Anolis sagrei: one gene and its partner. The protein of the gene in region 1 purifies or fractionates together with the protein of each later gene. This does not show direct contact. Links are inferred from orthologs where the notes say so. Each region holds a gene or a part of one and is shown on either strand. Other genes may lie near its edges.

The links. Proteins that work in one complex are often made in the same cells at the same time.
Region 2: the proteins of LSM1 (region 1) and LSM6 purify together in Homo sapiens (co-immunoprecipitation; 3 studies listed by BioGRID and IntAct, counting the BioPlex papers as one, with this or other methods). This does not show direct contact. The link is inferred for Anolis sagrei from reciprocal best matches to the Homo sapiens genes LSM1 and LSM6.

The regions. Positions count from the first base shown.
Region 1 is NC_090027.1:10,448,131-10,456,458, forward strand, and holds the start of LSM1 (U6 snRNA-associated Sm-like protein LSm1), read left to right. Parts: upstream 1-4,922; 5' UTR 4,923-5,030; coding exon 5,031-5,076; intron 5,077-8,328. UniProt on the Homo sapiens protein: Plays a role in the degradation of histone mRNAs, the only eukaryotic mRNAs that are not polyadenylated. Probably also part of an LSm subunits-containing complex involved in the general process of mRNA degradation.
Region 2 is NC_090025.1:47,640,011-47,648,149, reverse strand, and holds the start of LSM6 (U6 snRNA-associated Sm-like protein LSm6), read right to left. Parts: upstream 3,130-8,139; 5' UTR 3,047-3,129; intron 1-3,046. UniProt on the Homo sapiens protein: Plays a role in pre-mRNA splicing as component of the U4/U6-U5 tri-snRNP complex that is involved in spliceosome assembly, and as component of the precatalytic spliceosome (spliceosome B complex).

The DNA of each region.
Region 1 (8,328 bases):
AAGTCATGCTCCCCATGCTCTATTCTGCTTTGGTTAGACCACACCTGGAATATTGTGTCCAATTCTGGGCACCACAATTCAAGAGAGATATTGACAAGCTGGAATGTGTCCAGAGGAGGGCGACTAAAATGATCAAGGGTCTGGAGAACAAGCCCTATGAGGAGCGGCTTAAGGAGCTGGGCATGTTTAGCTTGAAGAAGAGAAGGCTGAGAGGAGATATGATAGCCATGTATAAATATGTGAGAGGAAGCCACAGGGAGGAGGGAGCAAGCTTGTTCTCTGCTTCCCTGGAGACTAGGACGTGGAACAATGGCTTCAAACTACAAGAAAGGAGATTTCATCTGAACATGATTCAACCTGATGTCATCGAGGGCAGTGGAGACCCCCACCTTCAAGTTGGTCTGACCCGCAGCGGAGAGTTCCGCAGTTCCTGGAAGCCCAAATTGGAACAAACTGAAGAAATGTGCCCCAACAGACAGCTCAAACAGGGACTGTACCAAGCCTCTGTGCCTTTCTATCACTTTTCCCCAAGCCCTAACATTGTAACTATTCCCCTAATAAAGATACTTGAAATTGCAACTTTTTAACTTTCTAGCTTGATACTTTGTGTCACTTCTTGCCTGAACTAACTAAATGCATGAATTCAACCTTTTCCAGGCCGCGGGGGACTGCGAGCCTGCCCGGAATGCCTTCCTGGCGTTCCGGGGACGCCGAATCCACGCCGCTTGAAACCGCGGATACGGAGTTTTTCCTTTCAGATCTCCATATCCACAAAATGGCGGATCGGCTCCATTTTAATGTCTTATTTTTCTGCACTAAATTCTAAGCTTGTCTGCCATCTCACTTTTCTTATTTTGGACCCCTACGCTCAGGAAATAACCTCTCAAGTTTTGAGAATATATTTTATTAGAAACAGCTGATTGCCAAATATGCTGGTTCCATGGCTGCTGCTTCATCGCTCCTCGCTGCCTCTCGCCTCTGCCAAGCTCTGGACCCGGGGACTTGATGCGGTTCCCCCATGGGACTTCAGGGAAGAGCCTGGCCAAGGTGCCCTGGACCTTGGGAAGAGATTCTAGTTTTCCAAGGACCAAAGTGTGAAATCATTGCAGCACAGCTGGAGTTCCATCTGCCAGCCTTTGCAAAGATCGAGGACTTTCTGTTGCCTGTTTAGAACTTCAGAATCCATGTTGGAGAATGGAGAATACGGTGGTCAATCAACCTAGGCAACTCCATCCTGCACATTTTCGAGAGCAACCCCTATAGATTTTGCCGACAATACAACTTAGACTCTAATACAGACATTTTAAATGCCATAATAAGTAGCACGTCAGCAATATAAAACCCTAAAGACTGCCAGAGTTGGGGCACCTTGGTATCCCTACGGATGTCCTCAAACACTCTCTGCTTCATTCAGAAAAATGCTGCACTTGCAAAGCTCAGGCGGTGTTGAATTACAGTGTCAATGTGGACTTTTGTGGAGAGAGGGCTGCCAAGGTAGCGGAAATTGTCTACTTTTTCTAATGTTACACCATTAAGCTGTATTTCTGGCATTGGAGAGGGGTTGGCCGGTGACTGCTGGAAGAGGACTTTGGTTTTCTCGATGTTCAGTGACAGGCTGAGTTTCTCATATGCTTCTGCAAAGGTGTTTAGAGTGACTTGTAGGTCCCCTCAATGGACTGTCACCTTGTCGTGGTGAGGGGGCTTGCGTGTTCCAATGAACCTGTGGGCACAACGACTGGAATCGTGCACTCCCAGGAGTGGCCGCAGGGGAGGTTCCAGACCAAGCACAGTCCGAAGACTCAAAGACCTCAACGGCGGAGCAGGCAGAGGATAACATGGTACATGTTACAACGGCTGTGAAGGCGGAAGAAGGCTGCAACAGATTGAGAAGCCACGGTTATTGTGTCAAACTACATCACCAGTGGAACCTCACTCTGTGAAGACTGTGTGTCGATCAGTTGTGCACTGACCTCCACACATTAAAAAAAACCCACGCACAGGCGTCTTCCAAAGAAAATGAAAAAACAAACCAACTGGACAGGAAAAGAAATTTAAAGATGGGCTCAAAGCCAACCTTAAAAACTCTGGCATAGACACTGAGAACTGGGAAGCCCTGGCCCTTGACTGCTTCAGCTGGAGGTCAGCTGTGACCAGCAGTGCTGCAGAATTCGAGGAGGCACGAGTGGAGGGCGAAAGAGAGAAACGTGCCAGGAGGAAGGCGCGTCAAGCCAACCCTGACCAGGACCGCCTTCCACCTGGAAACCAATGCCTTCACTGTGGGAGAAGATGCGGGTCAAGAATAGGGCTCCACAGCCACCTACGAATCCACAAAAATAGTCATCAAGGAAGACCATCTTACTCGTCCAATGAGGGATTGCTTAAGTAAGTAAGACATCAGAAGAGCTGCAAGACCAAGAACAAGCCACGAGAGTAAAGATGAAGATCCACCCAGAGGAAAAGTGTTCCTGCCATACATCAAGGGAACCACTGACCGCATAGGGAAGCTGATGAGGAAACACAACATACAAACTATCTACAAACCCACCAAGAAAATCCAACAAATGCTACGTTCAGCAAAGGACAAGAGGGATCCTCTCACCTCTGCAGGAGTCTACCGTGTACCATGCAGCTGTGGACAAGTCTACATAGGGACCACCAAACGCAGCAGCATTGCCCAGACACGCATCAAGGAACATGAAAGGCACTGCAAACTACTCCAACCAGAGAAATCAGCCATAGCAGAGCACCTGATGAACCAGCCTGGACACAGCATATTATTTGAGAACACAGAAATGCTGGACCACTCTCACAACCACCATGTCAGACTACACAGAGAAGCCATTGAAATCCACAAGCATGTGGACAGTTTCAACATAAAGGAAGAAACCATGAAAATGAACAAAATCTGGCTACCAGTATTAAAAAACTCTAAAATTACAACAGCAAAACAGCAGTGAGGAAACAACCAGGCACATCTAAACACCTCTCAACAAAAGATTTTCCCAGGCTCAGCCAGGCCTTCAAATGCTAATGAAGATGGTTGGTTGAAACATTCACACCTAGCTCCAGCAGAGAAGAGCTCTTTGCCCCAGCCATTCAACAGATATAAAAACCCATTGTCCTAATTCCAACAGACCTCACTACCTCTGAGGATGCTTGCCATAGATGCAGGCGAAACATCAGGAGAAATGCCTCTAGAACAGTGTTTCTCAACCTGGGGGTCGGGACCCCTGGAGGGGTCACAAGGGGGTGTCAGAGGGGTCACCAAAGAACACCAGAAAACACAGTATTTTCTGTTGGTCATGGAGGTTTTGTGTGGGAAGTTTGGCCCAATTCAATCATTGGTAGTGTTCAGAATGCTCCTTGATTGTGGGTGAACTATAAATCCCAGAAACCACAATTCCCAAATGTCAAGGTCTATTTTCCCCAAACTCCACCAGTGTTTACATTTGGGCTTATTGAGAAATTGTGCCAAGTTTGGTCCAGATCCATAATTGTTTTGAGTCCACAGTGCTCTCTGGATGTAGGTGAACTTCAACTACCAAAACTCAAGGTCAGTGCCCATCAAACCCTTCCAGTATTTTCTGTTGGTCATGGCAGTTCTGTGTGCCAAGTTTGTTTCAATTCCATCATTGGTGGAGTTCAGAATGCTCTTTGTAGGTGAACTATAAATCCCAGTAATTACAACTCTCACACAGGACAAAATCAATATCCTCCCCCAATTCCACCAGTATTTAAATTTAGGTGTATTGGGTATTTGTGCCAAATTTGGTCCTGTGTATGAAAATGCATCCTGCATATCAGATATTTATATTACTATTCATAACAGCAGCAAAATTACAGTTATGAAGTAGCAATGGAACTAATTTTATGGTTGGGGGTCACCATAACATGAGGAAGTGTATTAAGGGCTCGTGGCATTAGAAAGGTTGAGAACCACTGCTCTAGAACATGGCCCTATAGCCCGAAAAAACCCACAAGAACCTTGTGATTCCAGCCATGAAAGCCTTCGACAATACATTAAGTAAGGTCTTCTTCTGAATGTGCACAGATGACGTTGTCATCAGCATACTGGAGTTCTATAATAGATGCATGCACTATGCATGCATCAATAGGAGCATAGTGTCTAGATGTAAGGAAGTAATGCTACCCCTCTATTCTGCTTTGGTTAGACCACATCTGGAATATTGTGTCCAATTCTGGGCACCACAATTCAAGAGAGATATTGACAAGCTGGAATGTGTCCAGAGGAGGGCGACTAAAATGATCAAGGGTCTGGAGAACAAGCCCTATGAGGAGCGGCTTGGGGAACTGGGCATGTTTAGCCTGAAGAAGAGAAGGCTGAGAGGAGATATGATAGCCATGTATAAATATGTGAGAGGAAGCCACAGGGAGGAGGGAGCAAGCTTGTTTTCTGCTTTCTTGGAGACTAGGACGCGGAACAATGGCTTCAAACTACAAGAGAGGAGATTCCATCTGAACATGAGGAAGAACTTCCTGACTGTGAGAGCCGTTCAGCAGTGGAAGTCTCTGCCCCGGAGTGTGGTGGAGGCTCCTTCTTTGGAAGCTTTTAAGCAGAGGCTGGATGGCCATCTGTCAGGGGTGATTTGAATGCAACATTCCTGCTTCTTGGCAGAATGGGGTTGGACTGGATGGCCCATGAGGTCTCTTCCAACTCTTTGATTCTATGATTCTATGTTGTTGTAACCTTGGTGTTTACTTCCAGTCTGATTATAACAGGGATATTATGACTTTAAAAAGTGGAGCAGCAAAGTGGAGGGACATAGTCTATTTAGGCCATTTCTCTCCCGCCCCGCCCCCTCTGGGTAGGCCCCGCCCCCTTCTCGAGAGACCACGCCCCTCCTGAGCAAACCCCGCCTACTTAAGTCCGGCCCCGCCCTCTCCCCGGCCCCGCCCCCATGCCGTACTCTCCTTCTCCTTCCTGCCCGGGCGGAGCGTGTGCTTCCGGGCCGGGAGCCGGGCAGCAGGCTCCGTCGCAGGCCCACTCAGGCGAGGGCTCCGGGGCCAAGATGAACTACATGCCGGGGACGGCCAGCCTCATCCAGGACATCGACAGTGAGTCTGGGAGACTGAGAGACAGAGAGAGAGGATTCTCATTTTCGAAAATATATTGTTTTAGTGATAGTTTAATTCATTTAACCATTTGTTTGTATTAATTTGTATTTTGTTTATTTTATTATATTACATATTTGGTTAATATTATTTGTATTTTGTACTAGCCGTCCCCTGCCACGCGTTGCTGTGTCCTAGTGTGTAATATGTGGGTTTAGTGTAAATATATTTGTGTATCTGTGTATATATGTGTGTTTAGTGTGTGTGTGTGTGTCTATATATATTTGTGTATCTGTGTGTATATGTGTGTTTAGTGTGTGTGTGTGTGTCTATATATATTTGTGTATCTGTGTATATATGTGTGTTTAGTGTGTGTGTGTGTCTATATATATTTGTGTATCTGTGTGTATATGTGTGTTTAGTGTGTGTGTGTGTCTATATATATTTGTGTATCTGTGTGTATATGTGTGTTTAGTGTGTGTGTGTGTCTATATATATTTGTGTATCTGTGTATATATGTGTGTTTAGTGTGTGTGTGTGTCTATATATATTTGTGTATCTGTGTGTATATGTGTGTTTACGTGTATTTATTCATACTTATACACAATATACATATACAAATATAAGCACACAAATGTACACATCTACACACACATCCATATGCACACACACAGATATACCCGTGTGTGTGTGTGTGTATATGTGTATATATATATGTATATATGTGTGTGTGTGTGTGTGTGTGTATATATATATATATATATATATATATATATATATATATGGGTGTATATGTGTGTATATGTATATTTGTGTGTTAATATTTGTATATGTATATTGTGTATATGTGTGTGCTTGTCTATATGCATATTTGTTTATATATCTGTGTATGTATGTGTTTACGTGTATATATATATTTTCATACAGATACACAATATACATAAACAAATATAAACACACAAATATAGATATGCACACATATATTCACATCTACACACACATACATATGCACACACACAGATATACCCATATATATATATATGTGTGAGTGTGTGTAGATCTGTGTAGATGTGTATGCACACACACATATATACCCATATATATATGTGTGTGTGTGTGTGTGTGTGTGTATATATATATATATATATATATATATATTTGTGTGTTAATATTTGTATATGTATATTATGTATATGTGTGTGCTTGTCTATATGCATATTTGTTTATATATGTGTGTATGTATGTTTACGTGTATATATATATATATATTCATACATATACACAATATACATAAATATAAACACTCAAATATATATATATATATATATATATATATGCACACATATATACACATCTCCACACACATACATATGCACTCACACAGATATACCCATATATATATGGGGGTGTATATGTGTGTAGATGTGTATATATCTGTGCATAGATATATTTGTGTGTTTATATTTGTATGTGTATATAGTGTATATGTGTGTGCTTGTCTATATGCATATTTGTTTATATTTGTGTGTATGTATGTGTATTTACGTGTATATATTTATATATATTCATACATATACACAATTTATATATATACAAATATAAGCACACAAATATATATATGCACACATATATACACATCTACACACACATACATATGCACACACACAGATATACCCATATATATGTATATGTATATATATATGTGTGTGTAGATGTGTATATATGTGTGCATATATATATTTGTGTGCTTATATGTATATTGTGTATATGTGTGTGCTTGTCTATATGCATAATTGTTTATGTGTGTGTGTATGTGTGCATGTGTATATGTATAAGAGTACATGTGTGTTTACATTTGTATATGTATATTATGTGTATGTGTGCCCTTGTCTATGTGCATATTTGTGTTTATATATGTGTGTATTTATGTGTGCATGTCTATATATGTGTGTGTATGTAAATGTATATGTGTATATTTGTGTGTGCTTGGGTATATATATATATATATATATATATATATATATATACACACATACACACGTGTATGTATGTGTGCATAATAGTGTATGTGTATATATATTTGTATGTTTATATTTGTATATGTATATTGTGTGTATATGTGTGCTTGTCTATATGCATATTTGTGTTTATATATGTGTGTATGTGTATATTTGTGGGTGCATGTGTATATACATATATGTGTGTGTATGTAGATGTATGTGTGTATATTTGTGTGTGCTTGGATGTGTATATATATGTGTGTATGTGCATGTGTATATGTATAAGAGTGTATGTGTATATATATATATGTGTGGAAGGCAGTCCCGGTCAGGGTTGGCTTTACACGCCTTCCTCTTGGCACGTTTCTCTCTTTCGTCCTCCATTCATGCCTCTTCAAATTCTACAGCACTGCTGGTCACAGCTGACCTCCAGCTGGAGCGCTCAAGGGCCAGGGCTTCCCAGTTCTCAGTGTCTATGCCAGAGTTTTTAAGGTTGGCTTTGAGTCCACTTTTCAATCTCTTTTCCTGCCTACCAACTTTCCATTTTCCATTCTTGAGTTCGGAGTATTTATTTATATTTATCGTGTCATCCGCAACCAGAACATTGTATTACATTTCTAACAGAACAAAACAAACAAACAGATAAAAAAAAACAAAAACACAAATTTTGCACACTTGGTAGCTGATTAAATGTCCCTTGACCAGTATCTGGCCGCTTGGAGTGCCTCTGGTGTTGCTGCAAGAAGGTCCTCCATCGTGCATGTGGCAGGGCTCAGGGTGCATTGCAGCAGGTGGTCAGTGGTGTGCTCTTCTCTACACTCGCATGCCGTGGATTCCACTTTGTGGCCCCATTTCTTAAGATTGGCTCTGCATCTCATGGTGCCAGAGCGCAGTCTGTTCAGTGCCTTCCAAGTCTCCCAGTCTTCTGTGTGCCCAGGGGGGAGTCTCTCATCTGGTATCACCCATGGATTGAGGTGCTGGGTTTGAGCCTGCCACTTTTGAACTCTCGCTTGCTGAGGTGTTCCAGCGAGTGTCTCTGTAGATCTTAGAAAACTATTTCTTGATTTGAGTCGTTGACATGCTGGCTGATAGCCAAACAAGGGATGAGCTGGAGATGTCTCTGCCTTGGTCCTTTCACTATTGGCTGCTACTTCCCAGCGGATGTCAGGTGGTGCAATACCGGCTAGGCAGTGTAATTTCTCCAGTGGTGTAGGGCGCAGACATCCCGTGATAATGCGGCATGTCTCATTAAGAG
Region 2 (8,139 bases), on another chromosome or scaffold:
GGTTATCACCAATAAAGCCCTATACGCTTTGGGTCCAACCTATCTTCGAGGCCGCATTGAGATCTACCAGGAAGGCTATTTTCTCAGTCCCACCACCCAGGTACGAGAGGGCCTTCACCATGGTGGCCCGCTCCAGCTCTGGAATACCCTCCCAAGAGAGATTAAGTTAGCTCCCACTCGCCAAGCCGTTTGGGCTAGTTTAAAAACATGGCTTTTTAGGCAGGCTTTCGACTTTGTATAATTTATTGTCAGAGTAAGAATTCACCGATTGTTCACTCCGGGCACTTATTTATTTACAACATTTTTACCCCCATCCCAGGGGGAACTTCTGACAACCCAGCAGTTCGAAAACATGCAAATGGGTGTAGATCAATAGGTACCACTCCGGCAGGAAGGCAACAGCGCTACATGCAGTCATGCTGGCCACATGACCTTGAAGGCGTCTATTGATGCCAGCTCTTCACCTTACAAATGGAGATGAGCACCAACCCCCAGAGTCAGACACGACTAGACTTAATGTCAGGGGAAAACCTTTACCTATTCTTTGCCTATATAAAGGTTTTAACCTTTAAAGCCCTAAACAGTTCTGGCCCAGACTACCTGTCCGAACGTCTCTCCTGTTATGAACCATCATGAAGTTTAAAATCTTCAGGAGAGGCCCTGCTCTCGATCCCACCACAACCGCAAACGCAGTTGGTGGGAACAAGAGATAGGGCCTTCTTGGCAATGGTCCCCCGTCTTTGGAATTCTCTCCCCAGGGACATCAAGCTGGCCACCTCCCTCCTGTCCTTTAGAAGAAAACTGAAGACTTGGCTGTGGGACCAGGCATTCGATTAGTGGACAGTGGCAACTGGAAAGAAGACTTAGGATACCCCTGATATTGAATTTACCCAGACTTGGATTTGGTTTTAATCTAGCATGTTTAATCTATTGTTTAAATGCATTATTTTAATGTTTTAATGTATCCGTTATATGGTGAAAGCATAATACGGTGCTTGTGTGAGGCCACCCTGAGTCCCCCCTCGGGGGGAGAAGGGTGGGGTAGAAGTGTGGGTTGTTGTAGGCTTTTTCGAACTACATGGCCATGTTCTAGAGCCATTTTTTCCTGACGTTTCACCTGCATCTACGGCAAGCATCCTCAGAGGTAGTCAGGTTTGTTGGAACTAGGAAAAAGGGTTTATATATCTGTGGAATGACCAGGGTGGGACAAAGGACTCTTGTCTGCTGGAGCTAGGTGTGAATGTTTCAACTGGTCACCTTGATTAGCATTGGATGGCCTGGCTGTTGTTTGGTGTGGCTTGTTGGTGCCTGGGGCAATCTTTTGTTGAGAGGTGATTAGATGTCCCAGATTGTTTCCTGTCTGTTGTTTTGCTGTTGTAATTTCAGAGTTTTTAATACTGGTAGCCAGATTTTGTTCATTTTCATGGTCTCCTTCTTTCTGTTGAAATTGTCCACATGCTTATGGATTTCAATGGCTTCTCTGTGTAGTCTGACATGGTGGTTGTTAGAGTGGTCAAGCATTTCTGTGTTCTCAAATAATATGCTGTGTCCAGGTTGGTTCATCAAGTACTCTGGTATGGCTAACTTCTCTGGTTGAAGGAGTCTGCAGTGCCTTTCATGTTCCTTGACAAATTCATTCTTTTACATGTTTATGTATTGTTGTTTTATGTATGGCGCTTCAAAGTTCTTCTGTGAGCCACCTGAGTCCCTTCAGGGAGATGGTGGTGGGGTATAAATAAAATTATTATTCTTATGCTGCCTTTCTCTCACAATAGTACCCAATGCAGCTTCCAGAAACAACTCATTTCTTATTACATAGTGTTGTGATGTGAGCACTGAGATTTGGCTTTAGAGCAGGCTTAAGCCAACGTGTTTCCTCCAGTGGTTTTGGACTTCAACTCCCACCATTCCCAACAGCCTCAAGCCCCTTCCTTTCCCCCCTCAGCTGCTTAAGCTTTGAACTGGATTATATGGTAGACCAGGCATGGGCCAACTTGGACCCTCCAGGAGCTTTGGACTTCCAACTCCCACCATTCCTAACAGCCTCAAGCCCCTTCCTTTTCCCCCTCAGCTGCTTAAGCTTTGAACTGGATTATATGGTAGACCAGGCATGGGCCAACTTGGACCCTCCAGGAGCTTTGGACTTCCAACTCCCACCATTCCCAACAGCCTCAAGCCCCTTCCTTTTCCCCCTCAGCTGCTTAAGCTTTGAACTGGATTATATGGTAGACCAGGCATGGGCCAACTTGGACCCTCCAGGAGCTTTGGACTTCCAACTCCCACCATTCCCAACAGCCTCAAGCCCCTTCCTTTTCCCCCTCAGCTGCTTAAGCTTTGAACTGGATTATATGGTAGACCAGGCATGGGCCAACTTGGACCCTCCAGGAGCTTTGGACTTCCAACTCCCACCATTCCTAACAGCCTCAGGCCCTTTCCTTTGCCCCTGAGGGCCTGATCTACCATATAATACAGTTCAAAGATTAAGGAAAGAGTCTGGGGCTGTTAGAAATTGTGGGAGTTGAAGTCCAAACCCCCTGGAGGGCCCAAGTTGGCTCAGGCTTCCTTTAGAGACCGGGGTTCAAATGCTTGCTCAGCCATGAGGCCCACTGGGTGACCTTGGGAGTCAGACACCCGCTCAGCCTTAAAGGAAGGCAAACTCCCCACTCTGAACAATCTTGTCATGGAGTTGCCTTAGGTCGGAAAGGACAATATAAAACGCATTAAACCCGAAAGGGCCAAAGCTGCTCGAAGAGGGGAAGGCCGAAGCCACAGGGTATAAAGTGGCAGAATGAAGAAAGGCCGCTTGTCTTTCATTCAGGAAAGGGCTGTACCAAGAGGCGCGAAGGTGGGGGGGGGGGGCAGAAATGGGCCTTTCCAAGAACCCCTCCACAAAGGAAAGGAAGAGGAGCAGCAAAGCCTCGTCTCTGACCCCTCCCCCGCCGCCAAAAAAACCAAACAAGCCGAGTGGAACGTTCCGAGCGCGAGAGCACAAACAGTTGGGCGCGCGCTCACCGCCCTCCCTGACTTCTCGCCCTCAGTCACTCACCCGCGCCCTCTGACGTCCGCTCACCGTCTCGAACGCCTTCCCCGAACGAAGAACGACGGCGATGATGGATGATAGGCTGCTCGCCGAACCAATCAGCGCTTTTCGGCTTCACGTGGCAGCGACGGTGGCCAGCGCAGGCCAAAACTCTTCGGTGATGGAATTTTTGATTGGAGGCTGTTCTTTCTTTCTTATGTTTGGGAAAGGAGAAGCTTTGGGCCCATCCACACAACCCTATATCCCAAAATATCAAGGCAGGAAATCCCACAGTATCTGCTTTGAACTGGATTATCTGAATCCACGCTTGGATAATATGGGATTTTCTGCCTTGATATTCTGGGATATAAGGCTATGTGGAAGGGTCCTTTGCTTCTGAGGGCCCTTCCACACAACCCTGTATCCCAGAATATCAAGGCAGAAAATCCCACAATATCTGGGTTATCTGAGTCCACACTCAGATAATGTGGGATTTTCTGCCTTGATATTCTGGAATATAGGGTTGTGTAGAAGGGCCCTGAGTCAAGAGCCCCAAGGGCCCTGAGTCTGGGCACGACAATTGAAGAGTGATATTAACAAGCTGGAATGTGTCCAGAGGAGGTCGACTTAAATGATCAAAGGTCTGTAGAACAAGCCCTATGAGGAGTGGCTTAAAGAGCTGGACATGTTTAGCCTGCAGAAGAGAAGCTGGAAAGGAGACATAGAATCATAAGAGTTGGAAGAGACCTCATGGGCCATCCAGTCCAACCCCCTGCCAAGAAGCAGGACTATTGCATTCAAATCACCCCTGACAGATGGCCATCCAGCCTCTGTTTAAAAGCTTCCAAAGAAGGAGCCTCCACCACACTCTGGGGCAGAGAGTTCCACTGCTGAACGACTCTCACAGTCAGGAAGTTCTTCCTCATGTTCAGATGGAATCTCATTTCTTGTAGTTTGAAGCCATTGTTCTGTGTCCTCGTCTCCAGGGCACCAGAAAACAAGCTTGCTCCCTCCCTGTGGCTTCCTCTCACACATTTATACATGGCTATCATATCTCCCTCAGCCTGAGGGCTGTGTATAAATACATGAGGGGAAGTCATAGGGAGGAGGGAGCAAACTTGTTTTCTGCTGCCCTTGAGACTAGGATGCGGAACAATGGCTTCAAACTACAAGAAAGGAGATTCTGAACATTAGGAAGAACTTCCTGACTGTGAGAGCTGTTCAGCAGTGGAACTCTCTGCTCCAGAGTGTGGTAGAGGCTCCTTCTTTGGAGGCTTTTAAACAGAGGCTGGATGGCCATCTGTCAGGGGTGATTTGAATGCAATTTTCCTGCTTCTTGGCAGGGGGTTGGACTGGATGGCTCATGAGGTCTCTTTCAACTCTAGGATTCTATGAAAAGGCACGCAGAGTATGGGAACATTAATAAGCAGCCCCCCCCCTCCTTTATTGAATTATTGAGCATGCAAAATAGTGGAATGTGTGTGCTGTAGAATTAATGCAGTTTGACACCACCTGAACTGTCATGGCTTCCACACAGCTGAATAAAATCCCACATCTGCTTTGAACTGGAATATATGGCAGTGTGGACTCAGGTAACCCAGTTAAAAGCAGATATCTTGTAATTTTCTGCCTTGATATGGCTGTGTGGAAGAGCCCTAAATGTTATGGAATCCTGGAAGTTGTAAACTCTTAAGGCTCCTCAACTATTTAGCAGAGAAGGCTAAATAGCGTGTAAAACTACAATTCTCTTTATTCCATAGCATTGAGACAGGGCAGTACAAGTGGTGTCAAACTGCATTAATTTCCAGTGTAGATGTACTTCAAGGTCCCTTCCACACAGCTATAAAATCCACATTGAACTGGATTATATGGCAGTGTGGACCCATAATCCAGTTCAAAGCAGATATTGTGGATTACCTGCCTTGATATTCTGGGTTATATGGCTATGCGAAAGGACCCATAGTCTTCAGGTTAGACTATGTTTTGGACTTCCAACTCCCAGCATGGTCAACTGTCAGGAATTATGGGAGCTGAATTACAAAACTAGAAAAGATTGAAATTAGTGAAATAATAGTTGTAATGAATTACTCTAATAACCTGCTTTTGTCAGAAGGTGTGTTCAAGAAGGGGGATTATGTCCCAGCATTCAGAAGCTTAATTTTTTCAAAAAACAAAACAAAAACTTTGCACACTTACATGGTCTGCAATTGCTTGTTCCAAATTTGACCCTTTAGCAGCTTCTCCCTAAACAAATCAGAAATAATAATAAATCACATCTCGCTTTATCTCTTGATTGAGGACCCTTCCACACAGCCATATAATCCAGAATATCAAGGCACAAAATCCCACAATATCTGCTTTGGACTGGGTTATCTGGGTCCACAATGCCATATATTCCAGTTCAAAGCAGAAAATGTGGGATTTTATTCAACTGTGCGGAAGTGGCCTGAGATGCTAAGAAAGGTCACACTGATTCCAACAGAATTTCTTTTATTAAGAAACACACATGAAGGATTGGACTCTGTATCACAATCCTATGTATGTTTTACTCACAAGCAGAACCAACTCAAGCAGCTGAGTTTCAGATTTCATACTCCACCAGTTTCATATTTCAAGAAATAAAGTGCTTGTGGGATTTCCTGTCTCACTAGTCAATATACATGGCCTTGGGTACTCAGCACTTTGACTTCAGGCAGACTAATTCACTATTATGTATATTTAAGACTGCATACTCATGAAGCATTATACCTGAGAGAATAACTTGTAAACCAATGAGATAGCTAACATGTCAAATAAATCATTCTGGCATTGAACTGGTATTGAAAAACCATGCAAAATCAAATATTTGTGCACAATTCCTGCAGAAAAGAAGTGACAAAAAACCTCAAGTAGATGTTAGGAGAATTGAAGATTTTGGTGAGAAATCTCTGTGCATTAGAATAATTTAAATGTCACTGCAAACGATATTGTTAGTTTAATTGTCTTTCCCCCATTTAGAAAATAATTATTGTTTAGAAAAAAATACTGTCTATAGGATTTTTAGATTTGTGGATGCCTGAAATTCTGGGCTGGCAAACTTATTTTCTTATACATACTATCAAGAGTGCATCTGCACTGTAGACTTAATCCAGTTTGATACCACTTGAACTGCCATGGCTCAGTGCTAAAGAATCTTGTGGGTTGTAGTTCTACAAGGTCTTTAGTCTTCTCTCCCAGGCTGGGACCTCTTCTACACTGCCATATAATCCAGATTATTAAAGCAGAGGATCCACATTATCTGCTTTGGACTCGATTATATGAGTCTACACTGCCATATAACCCAGTTCAAAGCATATAATCTGGATTTTATATGACAGTGTACAAGGGCCCTAGATCTACACTGCCCTATAGCCCATGATCAGATCCCAAATTATCCTCTCTGAACTGGGTTATATGAGTCTCCACAGCAATACAATCTGGAGTAAGCAGATAATCTGGGATTCGGTCATGGGATATAGTGCAGTGTAGAAGGGTCCCCAGAAAGTGCTGGTGCCTCACCAAACTACAACTTACAAAATTTCAAAGCATGGAGCCAAGTCAATACTTTAGTAAGGATGCTGAGATACAGATATTTCTAATATAGAGGTGTTTTGTTTTGCTTTGATCTACATTGCATTTATTTAGGCAAATGCTATAATGATGGCAGTATGAGGAGAGCAGCACTAAAGGCACTATCACAAAAGTTACAGGTAACCCGCATGGCCATATATCCATGAATGAAATATGGCCAGACAGCTTGTATGCAAATCCCACTCAACTGCATAACCTTTGCTCTCTATTACATAAGTGACTATCTCTTGAGTCATGGTCCGAAAGTATTTCTTGTTTACTACGTAATTTCCATTAATTTTTATTATTTAGTTCCTCTGCCAAGCAAAGCAGGAAGGACACTCTGAGTGCTGGGATGATTGTAGTTTTTCTCTCTGGAGGATTGATGTCAAGGGAAATGAGAGTAAACAGTCTGAAAAAGCCCGCAGTTTCATGTCTGGCCAGAAGAGGAAGCAGAGACAATGCCTTGGGTATTGTTATTTTTTTTTTTTGTTCAAGAAAATTGATTTTAAACAAAAGGCACAAATAATTCAGAAAGTTTTCTGCATAAGCTCTGCAGAAAACCTTTTGCACCATTTCCATACATTTCATTATTGGCTGTGCGCAAGGCAGGAGTGTGGAAGAAAGGGATAGGTAAAGTGTGGCAAAATGCATTATAGCCAATAGGCAATAGAAGTAAATATACTATAGCTCAGGCATGGGCAAACTTTGTCCCTCCATGTGTTTTGGACTTCAACTCTCACAATTCCTAACAGCTGGTAGGCTGTTAGGAATTGTGGGAGCAGAAGTCTGAAACACCTGGAGGGACGAAGTTTGCCTATGCCTGCTGTAGCCAGTGAGACAGATAATATAATAAATTCAGTTTATTTTAGCTTAATAGGATCAGTAGTCAATATCCTAGTCAATGCTATATTAATTAAAAGCCATTTAAATGCATTCAGGATTAATTTCTATATAAATATGATTTTTGCAAATCTGTGAATAATCTGCAAAAGTCAAAATTGCAAATATGAAGGGCCAACTGTAGATCACATCAAGGAAAAACTGAAGCTGTTGAACATTTTCCTGTTAGATCACTATTTAGAAGCTCTACATGATGAAAAGGTCGGAAACTCATTTCGGTCTGACACACGAAAGACAACTGTGAGAGCTGTATGTGGCTGCCATTATCTAATGAACAGGGCAGCACTTAACATTTTTTTGATTTGATAAATGTAATTCATTCATTCCTGTGCTTTTCCAGCCCAGTCAATCTCATTTTATTTGGATCACTTATTCTGTAATTTACATTTTATGAGGAAAAATTATCCGTGAGATATTTCTTGGCCCTATCATCATTTCTAACATATTTCTATGAAAGCAATTAAACCACATTTTCAAATATTGTACGACATTTTGTGGCCCCCTTATCCACAGATTTAGTATCCACGGTTTGACTCAGCCACACTATAAAGCCTATTTCCCCATTAATGTTTGTATGGCTCTCTAGACACTTAAATAAATTTGTTTGGTACCCCTTCCAAATTTCAGGT